3 linked regions of the Caenorhabditis elegans genome follow. The protein of the gene in region 1 interacts with the protein of each later gene in a pairwise test. Each region holds a gene or a part of one and is shown on either strand. Other genes may lie near its edges.

Region 1 (4,191 bases):
TCCTATTTTAAATATTCAAAATAGCCTAAAATTGATTTACCAACTTATAAATTGTTGCTGTCTTATCACACTTCTATTTAAAATGCTGTTGAATCAAATTCAAACAGTAAAGTGCTTTTACCGGACACCCACGTTCTATTTTTGAGTTGTTTAGCTACTTATTTCATCAGGCACATTTTTGTTTGCTTAGGAATAACTGTACTTCATAAGTCATATTTCTGAAAAGCACTTGCAAACGTTGTAAGTTCACTGTAAATTTTGTTTATGCTTTGAACAACTACAGTCTTCATCTAAACTTCGAAGGTCATTCTCTGAAAATGTGACATTCTGCTGAAAGACTTCCGCATCCCCCATTGCCCTTTTTTATTTTCCTAAAAACTGGGTAACTGATCAATGAAAGTGCAAAACGGAAACTGGAAATGAGAGAAAAATGACGTGAACTTGTCGAAAACAACTCAAAAGTCTAAGCCACATGATTTAAAATAGTACGGTACTTGATGTGTTATTTTTTTCTGAAAACTACATTTGGATGAACTTATCAATTTGCAGAATGTTTATTCATATTTGTTTGTACAGATTGATTATTTTTAGAATTTAAACGTTTAATTTTTACAAAAAAATGTTAATCATTTGAAAGGCTGGGCAATGTTGTGAGAATTACATTGAGACGTTTGGAAATGAAGGTTTAAGCTTAAAACAGGAAATACAAAGTTGGAAAATATGAAACGGACATAAAATATTAAAGCATTGAAGTTTTGTTCAAAAACATTAAAATTAAATTTTCCTCTTTGACCATCCAAAAGAAACAGTTCTAGTCAAAGAGAAAAAAAAGAGAAGAGCAAAAAATGGAACGGGGAGACGAAAAATGCACACGCAACGGTTGATCCTTGAGACGTAATAGTGAGTAGTTTTTGAGAGCAAAATAGGGGCTATTTCAACGGGGAAAACTGTAACCTATCCATATTGAGTAAAATTGAACTTAGAGTAAAAGCTGGTTGAAAACGAAAAAGAAGTGGATAGGTATAAATAATGAGAGCTAAACGTTCTACTCTGCAGCTACAAGTTCCTGACGCACAGTTTCCTTGACCAAATCATCAAGTGAAAGGCCTTGTTGTTTTTGACAAAAAGCTTTTTTCTCCTCATCGGTTTTATCGTCGAGTTGAAAAGCTTCAATGCACATACATGCGACTGCCGCTTGGATTCCTTGAAGCATGACTAGTTGTGAACGGGGCTTCTGCTGAAAATAAAAAGAGTTTAAAAAATGTATTTCAAATTTCAAAGAGTGTGCAAATTGAAATTTTATTGAACAATTTAAACTTAATGACAGATCAAATAAAAATCAAATACTTTACTTTCACACCAGAGCTGCGTTTTTAAAATTAATTTTCTAAAACAAAAATTGGTTGTAAAATATGCAGTTCTGTCAAGCACGACAATATCATTAAAATGTGAAAAAAGTAGAAGAATAGAGAGAAGATTTCGATTTAAACTATTAAGAAAAGGAAGAATCGAAAAACTACTAACTTGTGTACCTGATACTTTGGGTAGTGGCGGAATGGCGAATCTGGTCCGACCTCGTCTGGAAGGTCTTCGTCTCGAATAAGACGGCGAAGTGGGCCACTTGCGCTGACTTCTGGCTCTAATTTTTGAAGGGGCATGGATTTGAGCACTGAAATTTAGAATTGTAAATTTAAATTTATAAAATTTGAATATACGACTTACATTCTTGAGTTTTTCTTCTAACAAGATCCTCTTCCTCTTTTGTTACTTGAATTGGTCGAACTTTATTTGGATGCACATCTGCATCATCATCTTCTACTAATGTTCGGAGCACAGATGTAGTTATAGAGCTTGATGAGGGAGACGAATTCGAGGAACATGTAATGGTACTTGTTGTAATTGGAAGTGATGGTTCCATCTTTCTTGTTCTCTTTCGTCGTTTCTCTTGATCTTTTCCGTGTTGCAAAGTGGCAGCGCTTGAAAATGCTCTTGGGCGTCCATCAGCTGCTAATCCAGCAGTAAATTGGTTAACTGGTGAGTTCATTGCAGCTTGAACATCTTTTTGTTGTTGATAAAGGGCTGAGTTGATAAGTCCCAATGATTCGATTGTTGAGTGTGGTGGAAGATTCAAGTATGGCAAAGTAGACAAAAGTGGGAATCCAGTGAACAGGCCAGGATAGGCACCTAGGGAAAGCATTGAAAGTGCTGTCATATCGTTGATTGGAGGAAAAATACATGAAGATGTAGAAGTAGATGCCGATAAATCACTGCTTGATGCAGATGATGGTTTGCTCTGAAATAATGAGATTTTGATTTATATTTTGCATATTTGATTTAAAACTTACAGTTACTGGGTTAAGAGTCAAATCATGTGGCAAGGCAGCAATAAGAGCCTGAAGCTCAGCGCTTCCAAGCTGGGAAGTCAGTTGGTCCATTTCTTATTCTTTTGAATGCAAGGGAAAAGAAGATATCCCTGAAAATATTCGAACGTTTTTCAAATGTCACTGTAATCGTTTAGGAATTAGAAAAATAGGAAAAGGAGGAACAGACTAGTGAATCAAAACGACAAATCGCAGTGTCGAAAACAAAAAGGACAAGGGAATCTGGAGGCAAAGTGCAGAATTTCGGCGGCGGCGGCGCCCGCAAGTGTACTGAAACTGGAGATTCATCTCTGAGCGAATGTGATCAAGTTTTGATGGAAAAATGTCGGAAGTCTAACAAAAAATTTCAGCTTCAGTCTCTGCCAAACAGGGAATTCGAGGGAAAAAGTGGTGAACCGGTGTCCTCAACAATACACAGACCACGCACACACACACACACGTCTATTCTATTCTATTTTGTCACTTTTCCTTCTATTTTTTCTTACTTTCCCTTCTAGCTTTGTCGTTGTTTTTTTCCCGGTTTACTCTCACTCTCCACACTCACATATGAAAAACAAGAAGTGCTTTAGAGACAGACAGGCGTGCGCAATTGGTTCCAAAAAGGATATGAAGGTGCCCTTCATGGTATATAAACGATGATGATCATGACAAAAACTGGAAACTGAAAAGGTGAAGTCAAGTGTACTTCAACTGAACTTTTTGCTTAAACTAATAATTTTCAAGATGCCAAAATGAGGATTTAAGGAAGATCGGATGCCAATTTTAGGGTTAGACGGATAAATGAGGGATTCGATGTCTTAAAAAACAATCAGTGACTCAAATGCACTTTTACAAAAATGAACTGATATGAATAGAACTTTGCGTGAAAGCGTAAAACGATTTGATAAGCTTCCTGACAACTGTGACCAAAAAAATGACAAGCCAAAACGTGAGTAGCATGGCAATGAGTGACTGACGTCCTGGCATCTCGACAGAAGGCTCCGCCCACTTACGCTCTCGGAAAGGAAAAAAAGATGAAGAAGGGGGTGGGTGGGGCATTGAGAATGCTAGGAAAAGTGCAAAAGAGGAGGAGAAGAAAGAAGATTATGGAAAGGACTAATAAGATGCGAGCAGCTGAAATTAATGATGTAAAACTAAAAACATTATTGGGCACAGGTTATGCATTGCTCAGATAGTTCATATTAAATTTATCTGCACTTGTTGGCAAATATACAAGAGATAGCAGCTGATTGATATTCTAACTATGGAATATGAAAATTTACTTGAGCACGAAATTGACGTAGTTCTCAGAATAACTGAAACAGACACATGTACCAGACACATGGACACACATCATGAACTTTTTGTTTTGTTTTTATTCTTCAATAACTGTTCTGATCGTGATCACTAAAAGTTCGCTTTTTTGCTATTCATTTCTATTATCTAACTCATTTCTTATCACAAAAAGGCATCATGAAGACGGAAGATAAAAATGTGATTGAGACCAGATCAGATTAGAGAAGCAATAACAAAATAGCAAAAAGTACAAATTGACCACGTCAAGATCTCACATGCAGGTGTTATGTGTTATGTTACATTATGAAGAAAAAATGAGTCAGTATCTATCAGAAAATCTGACTAAGATTAAGCTTGAATAAGGAAGAAAAAGGAAAGGAAAAGGAATGGAGAAGTATGAGAGGTCGACCTTTCAGTCTGGGGATGCCTAGGAGGCCTGGCGCTGCGGGGAAGTGCGAAATAACAAAAGGGCATGTAGAGTATGATGGAGAGATAGACGACACACACATTTTCTCTCCACGCTCAGAAGAAAAAG
Region 2 (4,627 bases), on another chromosome or scaffold:
AATCAAAAAATAAAGGAGATGAGTGTAAGGAGATCATGTGGTGGTGCTCACTGATTCTCGTGAGCACTAATTGAATAATTTTGAAAAAGCGTGACTGACATTTTACAACTACATGTCCAAACTTGTGGGAATTGCAAACTAAAAGAACACTTGAACGTTTGAACATTTAAGATTGAGAAAAAGTGTTACAATAATGAGTCAAAAACGGTTACTTGTTCTGGATTGTTCAAGGCAATTTGAATAATCTTCACGTTTACTCACCCGTAATGCTGCAAGCATTTTGTCGAATGACATGAATTTCGAAAGTGCCGCCACATTTGCTTCGAGTGTCATTTTTTGATTTTTGTGTTCGGAATGAAGTATAGACGTCCGGAAGTATATAGTAGAATGGTATCATCAGCACTTCATTGTTGTTTTCGGAATAATTGAGAAAGTAGGTGTTGTGAGAGGCGTGGTCCCAAGTTTTTGCGGTAATATGGAACACACACACTTAAAAAAATCGGGGCCGAACGACGACACAACAGGCAGCAGTAGCAAAAACTTCAGTGCGTCCTGTGTATATGTACGGTGCGTGTGTTTCACCGTTTGACCTTGGAACGGCCCAAAAAGGAAGCGAATTTAATTGTAAGTAAGAAGTAAGTGTGAGCACTTATGCTTATCGCTTTATCAAAACACCGGCGCTGATTACCGTAGTTTGGCGTTCCGAACAGGTTGTGGATAGGTTGATTGTTTGAAGATGAAAATTGAGATATTGAAGATGACGATGATGACACTGGACTTTAAACTTTGATCGTTGTTGGCAAGAATACAGCTTCTTTGTTTCAGACCTAGTTGGTCCGAATAATTTCAACTAGAGCTCACTATGAGTTCATTTATTTCAGGTATCGTAAAAGCTGAACGACTTTTCCAGAATTTTTCCTTTCGAATTTTTCCAGTACAGGTTTCATTGAAAAAGCGTTTAGATGTAGAAGTAAAAGTCCACCATTATCTTGAGCGCATTTTGTATCTTCAACACATGAAATTTCTCTCATCATTTTCTCGAATGTTGAGAGCACATCACACTCAAGAACATCAGTTCTTCTTTCCTCTCCACTCACTTCTAAACAATTCCCCGTCAGCAAAATGGCGTGAGTTTAACGCTGCACAAAACATACGCCGAACTTCGAAAAAGAGATGAAGACTAATTGATGAGAAACAATCAATAAGAAGAAGGATCGGATCAGAATGGAACTTTTTGAACTTATAATAGAAGCTTATTACAAATTTCTAAAACTGAATTAAAGTTTGATAACTAAATGTCCTTTAGAGTGTTATTATATTCATTTGTTAACACCATGTTTTCTGAATACACACAAAAATATAGAGCATTAAATTCAATGAACTGAAAATATATGTAGCTCCAATAATTCAAATCCAATAAGATTCTTGATTGAAGAAAAGAAAATCGTTTAGCAATTTAAAGTTATAGAATACTACCGCCAACCACAAAAACAACAAAAAGTTTCATCTTGGTGCAATGGTTGAGTCAAGTCATAATAATCTAACCTGATTGAAAAAACATAATAACAAACTAACGTCGTCATCGCTGTTTGGAGGTGTCAAGCAGTTATTCTTGCTGTGTATCCGCCTGTGGCGCTGAAATAAAAAAAATTATTTAAATATTATTTATGATATTTTTAATTACACTTGCTGGGCTTGACGATTTATCATCGTCGTCAATCTTTTCAACATCAATTACACTTGCTGAACCCGGAGTTTTTGACGTTTGAATAGGAGTTTCGTAAGAAACAGCAGAAAAGTAATATGGAGTTGGATAGAATGGAAGTTTGTGGAAATTGTGGAAAGAGTTACTATACATGGCACTGTGAGAGTATAGATGGCGATTGTATGTGTTGTTGCAATGATCTGTTTTGCCTACTTCATCTCGGCGCCCCGTTAAGATAGCCGTCGATTTCGGCGCTGGGAGGGTCGAACAGTTTTCAACTCCCCCAAATTGCACTTTTGATGTAGAAATTCAGAGAGAATAAATGTTGCTGCTAACAAGTGGTGGGAGGGTACGGTTACACAAAAGATAGAAAACGCACGAAAAGAGATGATAAGAATATGACTCCTTTTTGTTCTCAGAAAATATTGGCCACTCTAACGCTTATCGCTACAAATCGAACATTTAGACACAGACCGCCGAAGATGACATGTCAACGTTCTAAAATCAGTGCTGTTCTTTGAGAAAGAAGCAGACATATTTATGTGTTACTTATAACAGTTAAACGTTTAAGCTCTACGAATACTTTAGAAAGTAAGATTTTATTTCCGACACATTTTTGAGTGGAAAAGGGGAAATAGCTGCAGAGAGGACATTGTTTCATAATGCCGATTGTACCAGAATGGTCGAATTTTTCAGTTTTCAAACCAAATATGAAATTGAGAACATTTTGAAAATTGTTCTACCATGATATGCCGTTACTACATATTTTGTGTTTTTTTACTGACACCAGTAGATAGGCTTGAAGTGGCTTTGTAAGTTAAGACTAAATAAAATTGATGAGTATCAACTCTAAGAAAATTTCAATACCATTTGTTCGAAACTTCTACAAAATAACTGAGGTTTAAACATAAATGTTAACACATTCTTGTGAAAATGATGCAATATATTTTGCAAAAAAGGTCATTTCTACAAGACTATTCTGCATCTATTCCCACAAGCTTTTATTGATACTTTGGTCTTCTGTTTAGCTGATGAGAAAAAAATTATAAATACGGTTTCAACTTTAAGTTTGTTATAAATAACTTGTAAATATCCAATTTGTTCACCTTTTTGCCGATTTATACTAATTTTCACATTTTTGATTGCTTTACACAGTTTGTACTGGCTCTTCTCGGTATACAATTTTTTAAAGCCGTGAGATTTTAGAAATCACTTACCCTGCGGGTTACTCGTTTCCTTCTCACGACGGGCTCCTCTACCTTATCTGGGTTTTCATTTGTTTCGATTTCCATTGACTGTTCCGCAATGACTCCTCCATTTGTGCCCATTTAATTGGCGCCCGTTGCGCCGAAATGTGCGCTGAAAAATTTTCATTATGTTTTTGTAAAGCAAGTAAAGCAAGATTTTGAGCAACATGGAATAGCAAGGAATAAGTTTCCAAAGTACACACTGGTGATCAACAGCCACAAAAGAAAAGATCGGAAGAGACACAAGAACGGGGACGGGAGGTCGTTATTTGTGAATACTTTGTCATTTTTCTGCTGTGATTTTTTTTTTTGCGTGGAACAGTCGAAAAAAAAAAATTTTGCTACTGCTAATTTTAAACATATCTACTGATTGCGAGCAAAGTTTTGTAAAATTGAAACATCTCGATTAGGCAAAACAGATCTCGTCAAAACTTTCTCTATAAAATAAGTTTTTCTTTTTGATTAGATATTATATACAGTTATAACTTGTAACGAAAAATTGGGAAAAAAATGTTTTTTGATGAATGAAGCTCGGTAAAGTTATCTACATCGAAAGTTGTTCTTGACGACCAGCAAAAAAAAAACAAACAAACCAGATAACTGGGTTAACTGGTGCGTGGATATCTACAATTTAAACTGAAATAAAAGTACATTTTCATTATCATGTTTTCATCCGCTTGGTTGATGAGTAGAACTAAGATTTAGTCTCAAGTAGACTCTGCTGTTCATACTATTTCTGCCTTTTTGCTGGCACGCATAAATTGATAAATTATGTATTTATCTCTAAAAATTTAATTGAAAATCTGTCACTTCTGATTATAGTGTGTTTGTTTCATCAAATCCTAATGCTTAGCACCAAAAATCTGATTCGTTTCATTTTGACGTGAAAAATTGCTAAATTGGAAAGATGAGAAGCTGGAGAGGAAGGCATTTGAAATTTGGATTTGAGATGGCATATGGGGAGGGAAAAAGCGGAACAATTGTAAAAAATGTCGTGGTCTCATTCACTCAACACATGAAACTGCACCTACTGAGAAGAATATGCATTTCTGGTGAAATATTGAAATAAAACAGCACGGAACGAACAAAAAAAGGTTTTAGAGAATGTAAGAAATTGAAAAATAAGTTGTGGTGCACTCAATTCTGAGTCAAAAACAAAAAGATTGAGTTAATTTTCAGATAGAAATTTGATATTCGGCCAAGAAAATTGATGAAATTAAAATAAAATCGAGTTGCGGCATTTGAAGAACTTTCAATGTTTTCAAAATGTATTTTGATGCAGAATAATGTTGCAAAATGGAACAATCACGAAAGTGAAATAAAAAATCTAAAAATTTATCTCAAAAGTATTAAAAAAGTTTTAAAAAATATTTTTGACTAACTTAGGGAAAAAAATTAATTATTTTTGAATAAGTTTAATACAAAATGTAAAATTAAACTTAATAAAAATTACATCTCCTATTCAACTGATTAATGGAAAAAGGAAAGTACTGAAATACTAAATAAAATTAAATTGAAAAAACCATTTTTAGAAAATGTTTTCATTTTGAATCCAACTTTAAAAAAATATCAGTTACATTTAAGATCACTTATCAGACAAATAAAATTATTTTCAAAAAAAATAATTTGAGGAACCAAAAAATGAAATACGATTAGCAATGTGCCTAAAGGTCAT
Region 3 (3,579 bases), on another chromosome or scaffold:
GCCATGATACAATTTGGAAATATTAAATAGAAATTCTGAAAATAAGCGATTTTAGGATTTCAAAACTTTATTATTTCGTTATTTAATTGTAATAAAGTTAGAATTTTTCTGAAATTTTCACAAATTATAGGCATTATTCAAATATATAATAAGAAAAATTTTCAATTCCAAGAACCAGTATACATGTATTAGCTCAATGTTTCATACAACTACGATATAAAACATTCAAATTGACTCACGTGCACACGGAACATCGAACGCTAAAGCTAATCGATCAATAATCAGAAACAAGAATAACACTTGGATGAATGGGCTATGCATTACTATGGCGAAGAAAAATTAGGACAGAACCGATTTGAAGATTTCCCTGCGGAAAGAGAGACAGAGATGCGACTATGAAAGGAAAATCATCAAGGGGTCAACACCGTCATGATCGTCGCCACGTCCGCTGTGCGAAGACATGGCGAAGTCGTACACATTTGACACACTAAATTATTTCATTAACCTTCCGTTGTTCTGTAAGGAATTGGATTTTTGAATGCATAAACTTTTATTTGTTGATAATTATTAAAACCAGTAAAATTCGAAAAATCCGAAAAATTCAAAAATGCATGCGCTTGAAAATTATATACTTATGACATTGAAAAAGGCAAACAATAATGAGATAAATAAGAACAGTGAACATTTTTTGTTAAGTAAGAATGAGTTTCGAAGACCAGTCACACATTATTATTACTAACAGATCTCAAATGAGAATTTTCGCGTAATACTGTTTGGAGAAAAACAAAAATTTTAGAGCTCGGCTGGGTCGTGTTTCTGGAGTTGCTCTCCGTAGTCGGTGGCCTGGGATCCGACGAATGTGTCGTAGTGGGCGACGATTTCATCGAGATTCAGTTTTCCGTCTTTGTTGTCATCGGCGATTCCAACCAAGTGACGAGCCTCAGCCTCGGCGTGGTCGAATCCAACTGGCATAATCCAATCGCGCATCTCCTCCTGAAATATAATCATTATTAATTAGACATCATATTATAGACATTATTATACCTGATTGAGTTTTCCATCTCCGTCCTTGTCTCTGTGCTCCTTGAACATTTCGCGCTCAGATTGAACCCAGTCTGGTTCTTTTCCATTCAACTCTGGGTAATCATCTGGTCTATACATATCTCCAATGTACTCATCAAGATCCACAGATCCGTCCTTGTTCTTATCAATATCATCGACAGTCTCGGCGACGACAACGTCTCTCATGTGATCACAGTCTTCTGGATGCATGAAGCAACCGTATTCGGTTCTGTCGAGGGCTCCGTTTGAGTCGTAGTCGGCAACAGCCCATCTCTTCTCGTCACGTGCGATCATTTTAGCGTATTCTGGAGAAAGCTCCTGGCCAGCTCCGTCAGCAGATCCGTAGACCATCTCTCTGTAGTCTTCCCACTTGATCTTTCCGTCGACAATCTTCTCGGCCTTGTAGTTCTTCCAGGTACGGTCCACGTCGTTGTTGACGTATCTCTTTTGCATGAAGTTGATGTGATCCTTGAGCTCGTTCTCCTCGATGAAGCCATCGCTGTCAGCATCCATCTTTGGAACGAGCTTGCTGAAAATAATAGACGTTGATTTGAAGGTCATGAGACTTTAAAAGAACATACGCAAGCTTCTCCTTTGACTTTTCTGGTGTTAATTCATCAAATTCAGCAGCGGTGTCTTTTCCGAGGAACTGCTCGTGATCGTACTTCTTGTCATGTTCCTTTCCCTAAAAATAACAGAACAGATATTTGTAAAAGATTATGCGTAAAACTGCAAATTACCTTGAAATGTTCACCATCTTTCGATGGATCGGATGAGTGATGGGAAGCAAGCGCGGTGGCTGCGAGGAGACCAACGAAGAGAAGAACCTTCATGTCCAGATCCTACTACCTGAAATTAAAAATAAATCATTTTTGAAACAAAAACAATTGAGAATACAAAACATAGGATAAGTGTGTACTAATTAACAATTACGATGTGAAGTGGGGAATACTGACGGCTCTTTAAAAGGATATACATAAATAGGTCAAGCAATCGGGAACACTTTTTATGCACCGTCTAGCGATTGTCTGAAGGCAGAAAGATGGAAGACAGCCCAAAACTACGGACAGACGCCCGATTGGAAGGAGTGAGTTGGCCTGCTTGCGAACTGTCAATCTCACCCGCCAGTGTTGACAGTTTCTCAATACCTCATATTGCTGCTCACGCAAACAAATTCGATGCCTATACGTTAGCCAGAGGCTACTCTTATGATTTCACAGGGTTTAAATGTTTCAAGAGGAGGGGTTTCGTTCTAAAGATTAGTACACGTAGCATAAGATATAAATAAATGTTATTTCTTGATTTCTTCATGGAAATAAAAATGATCAAGAGAACGCTGCAAACGAAGCGAATCAAGAGAAAATTCGGTGACTTCTTCTCGGCTACCTATGCAGTTCAGGATACTACAGTTTTAGCAAGAAGTGAGCGAGGAAAAGAAACCCTCTTGTAAGAGAGAGAGAGAGAGATGGTCATCACAAAATGGGGGTCAGTGCCTGCCGGGGCTGCCGATTTCTCAGAGCAGAGAGTACAGTGTACCGGGAGACGCAGTCAGAGGTTAAGTTAAAACATTGGAGAGACTATGCGGGAGGGCGGAGGCGGCAGACAATGGCCTGGTAAAGAGAGAAAGACTGCGGCGGGAGTAGAACAACCCCGAGACACACACACACACACATTCGTCCACAGAAAGAAAAAGAGAGCCACGTGTACAAATCTCGAGTCACTTGTTGGGATGAGTTTGTAGTTCTTCTCCTAGATGTTCTTCAAATTTCTTTTCTCGAAATTTTGTTCAGTGAGAATTGAGAGAACTCATACAAGTTTCAAAAACCTCAAACGTAGAACGTTCTACATGAAATTCGTAACAGGGATCTAGAACTTATCAGTACACATAAATACTATGTCTAGTGTTAAGAAAACCTCAAACTAGAAGCCTCCCATTGCCGTGAAGGTTGCTTAAAGATTCACAGTAGAATAAACAATCCGAGGCTAGTTAGTTTATATAGAATTCTTACTTTGAATAAACAAATGAAAGTCAATGGAAAGACGTCTGGTCAATCGGTCAGCGGCGCGACACACGTCTGCAGGGTTTAAATAGATGAGCCGTCGTGCAGCAGTTGTGTGGACCGTTCGAGAATCTTCTTCTGTTTCACAGCTGTCGTCTCCGCCTGGAACACGTCATCAAAAAAGATCTCGTCTTTTGCCTGTGGTGTCGACCCTAGAAATGCGGCGTGCCGGCCGGTGACCCCAAATCATTTCTTACCTCAACCATCATACAACTTATCTGTTTAACCATATCTTACATAGAACTAAATCGGCCTGTACGCGCCTCTGATTATCACCCCGGACCGCGGGGGAAAGGGACATCACATCTTTTCACTCGTGCGCGCGGCCCACTTACCCAGTTAGGAGGAACGAAAACAAAAAGAACCGAATACACATAAAAGATAAAGGTGAATAGTTCGAACAGATATTGTTATAATGGAACGATACAAATAAATAAAGAAATTTGTAGAAAAGTTA

Evidence for each region. Proteins that work in one complex are often made in the same cells at the same time.
Region 2: the proteins of F45D3.2 (region 1) and daf-12 interact in a two-hybrid assay, tested with the Caenorhabditis elegans proteins (one large-scale study listed by BioGRID).
Region 3: the proteins of F45D3.2 (region 1) and calu-1 interact in a two-hybrid assay, tested with the Caenorhabditis elegans proteins (one large-scale study listed by BioGRID).

What each region holds. Positions count from the first base shown.
Region 1 is NC_003283.11:12,539,322-12,543,512, reverse strand, and holds F45D3.2 (Homeobox domain-containing protein), read right to left. Parts: upstream 2,475-4,191; 5' UTR 2,436-2,474; coding exon 2,346-2,435; intron 2,294-2,345; coding exon 1,723-2,293; intron 1,670-1,722; coding exon 1,533-1,669; coding exon of another isoform or gene 1,525-1,532; intron 1,238-1,524; coding exon 1,046-1,237; 3' UTR 536-1,045; downstream 1-535.
Region 2 is NC_003284.9:10,642,846-10,647,472, reverse strand, and holds the start of daf-12 (Nuclear hormone receptor family member daf-12), read right to left. Parts: upstream 3,034-4,627; coding exon 2,923-3,033; intron 1,636-2,922; coding exon 1,576-1,635; intron 1-1,575. UniProt on the Caenorhabditis elegans protein: Nuclear receptor which binds directly to response elements in target gene promoters. Activity is modulated by binding of steroid hormone ligands that include dafachronic acids.
Region 3 is NC_003284.9:4,969,001-4,972,579, forward strand, and holds calu-1 (Reticulocalbin-3), read right to left. Parts: upstream 1,912-3,579; 5' UTR 1,896-1,911; coding exon 1,803-1,895; intron 1,748-1,802; coding exon 1,644-1,747; coding exon of another isoform or gene 1,592-1,643; coding exon 1,045-1,591; intron 994-1,044; coding exon 793-993; 3' UTR 534-792; downstream 1-533. Other genes in the region: M03F4.6 (EB domain-containing protein), read right to left, coding at 240-321.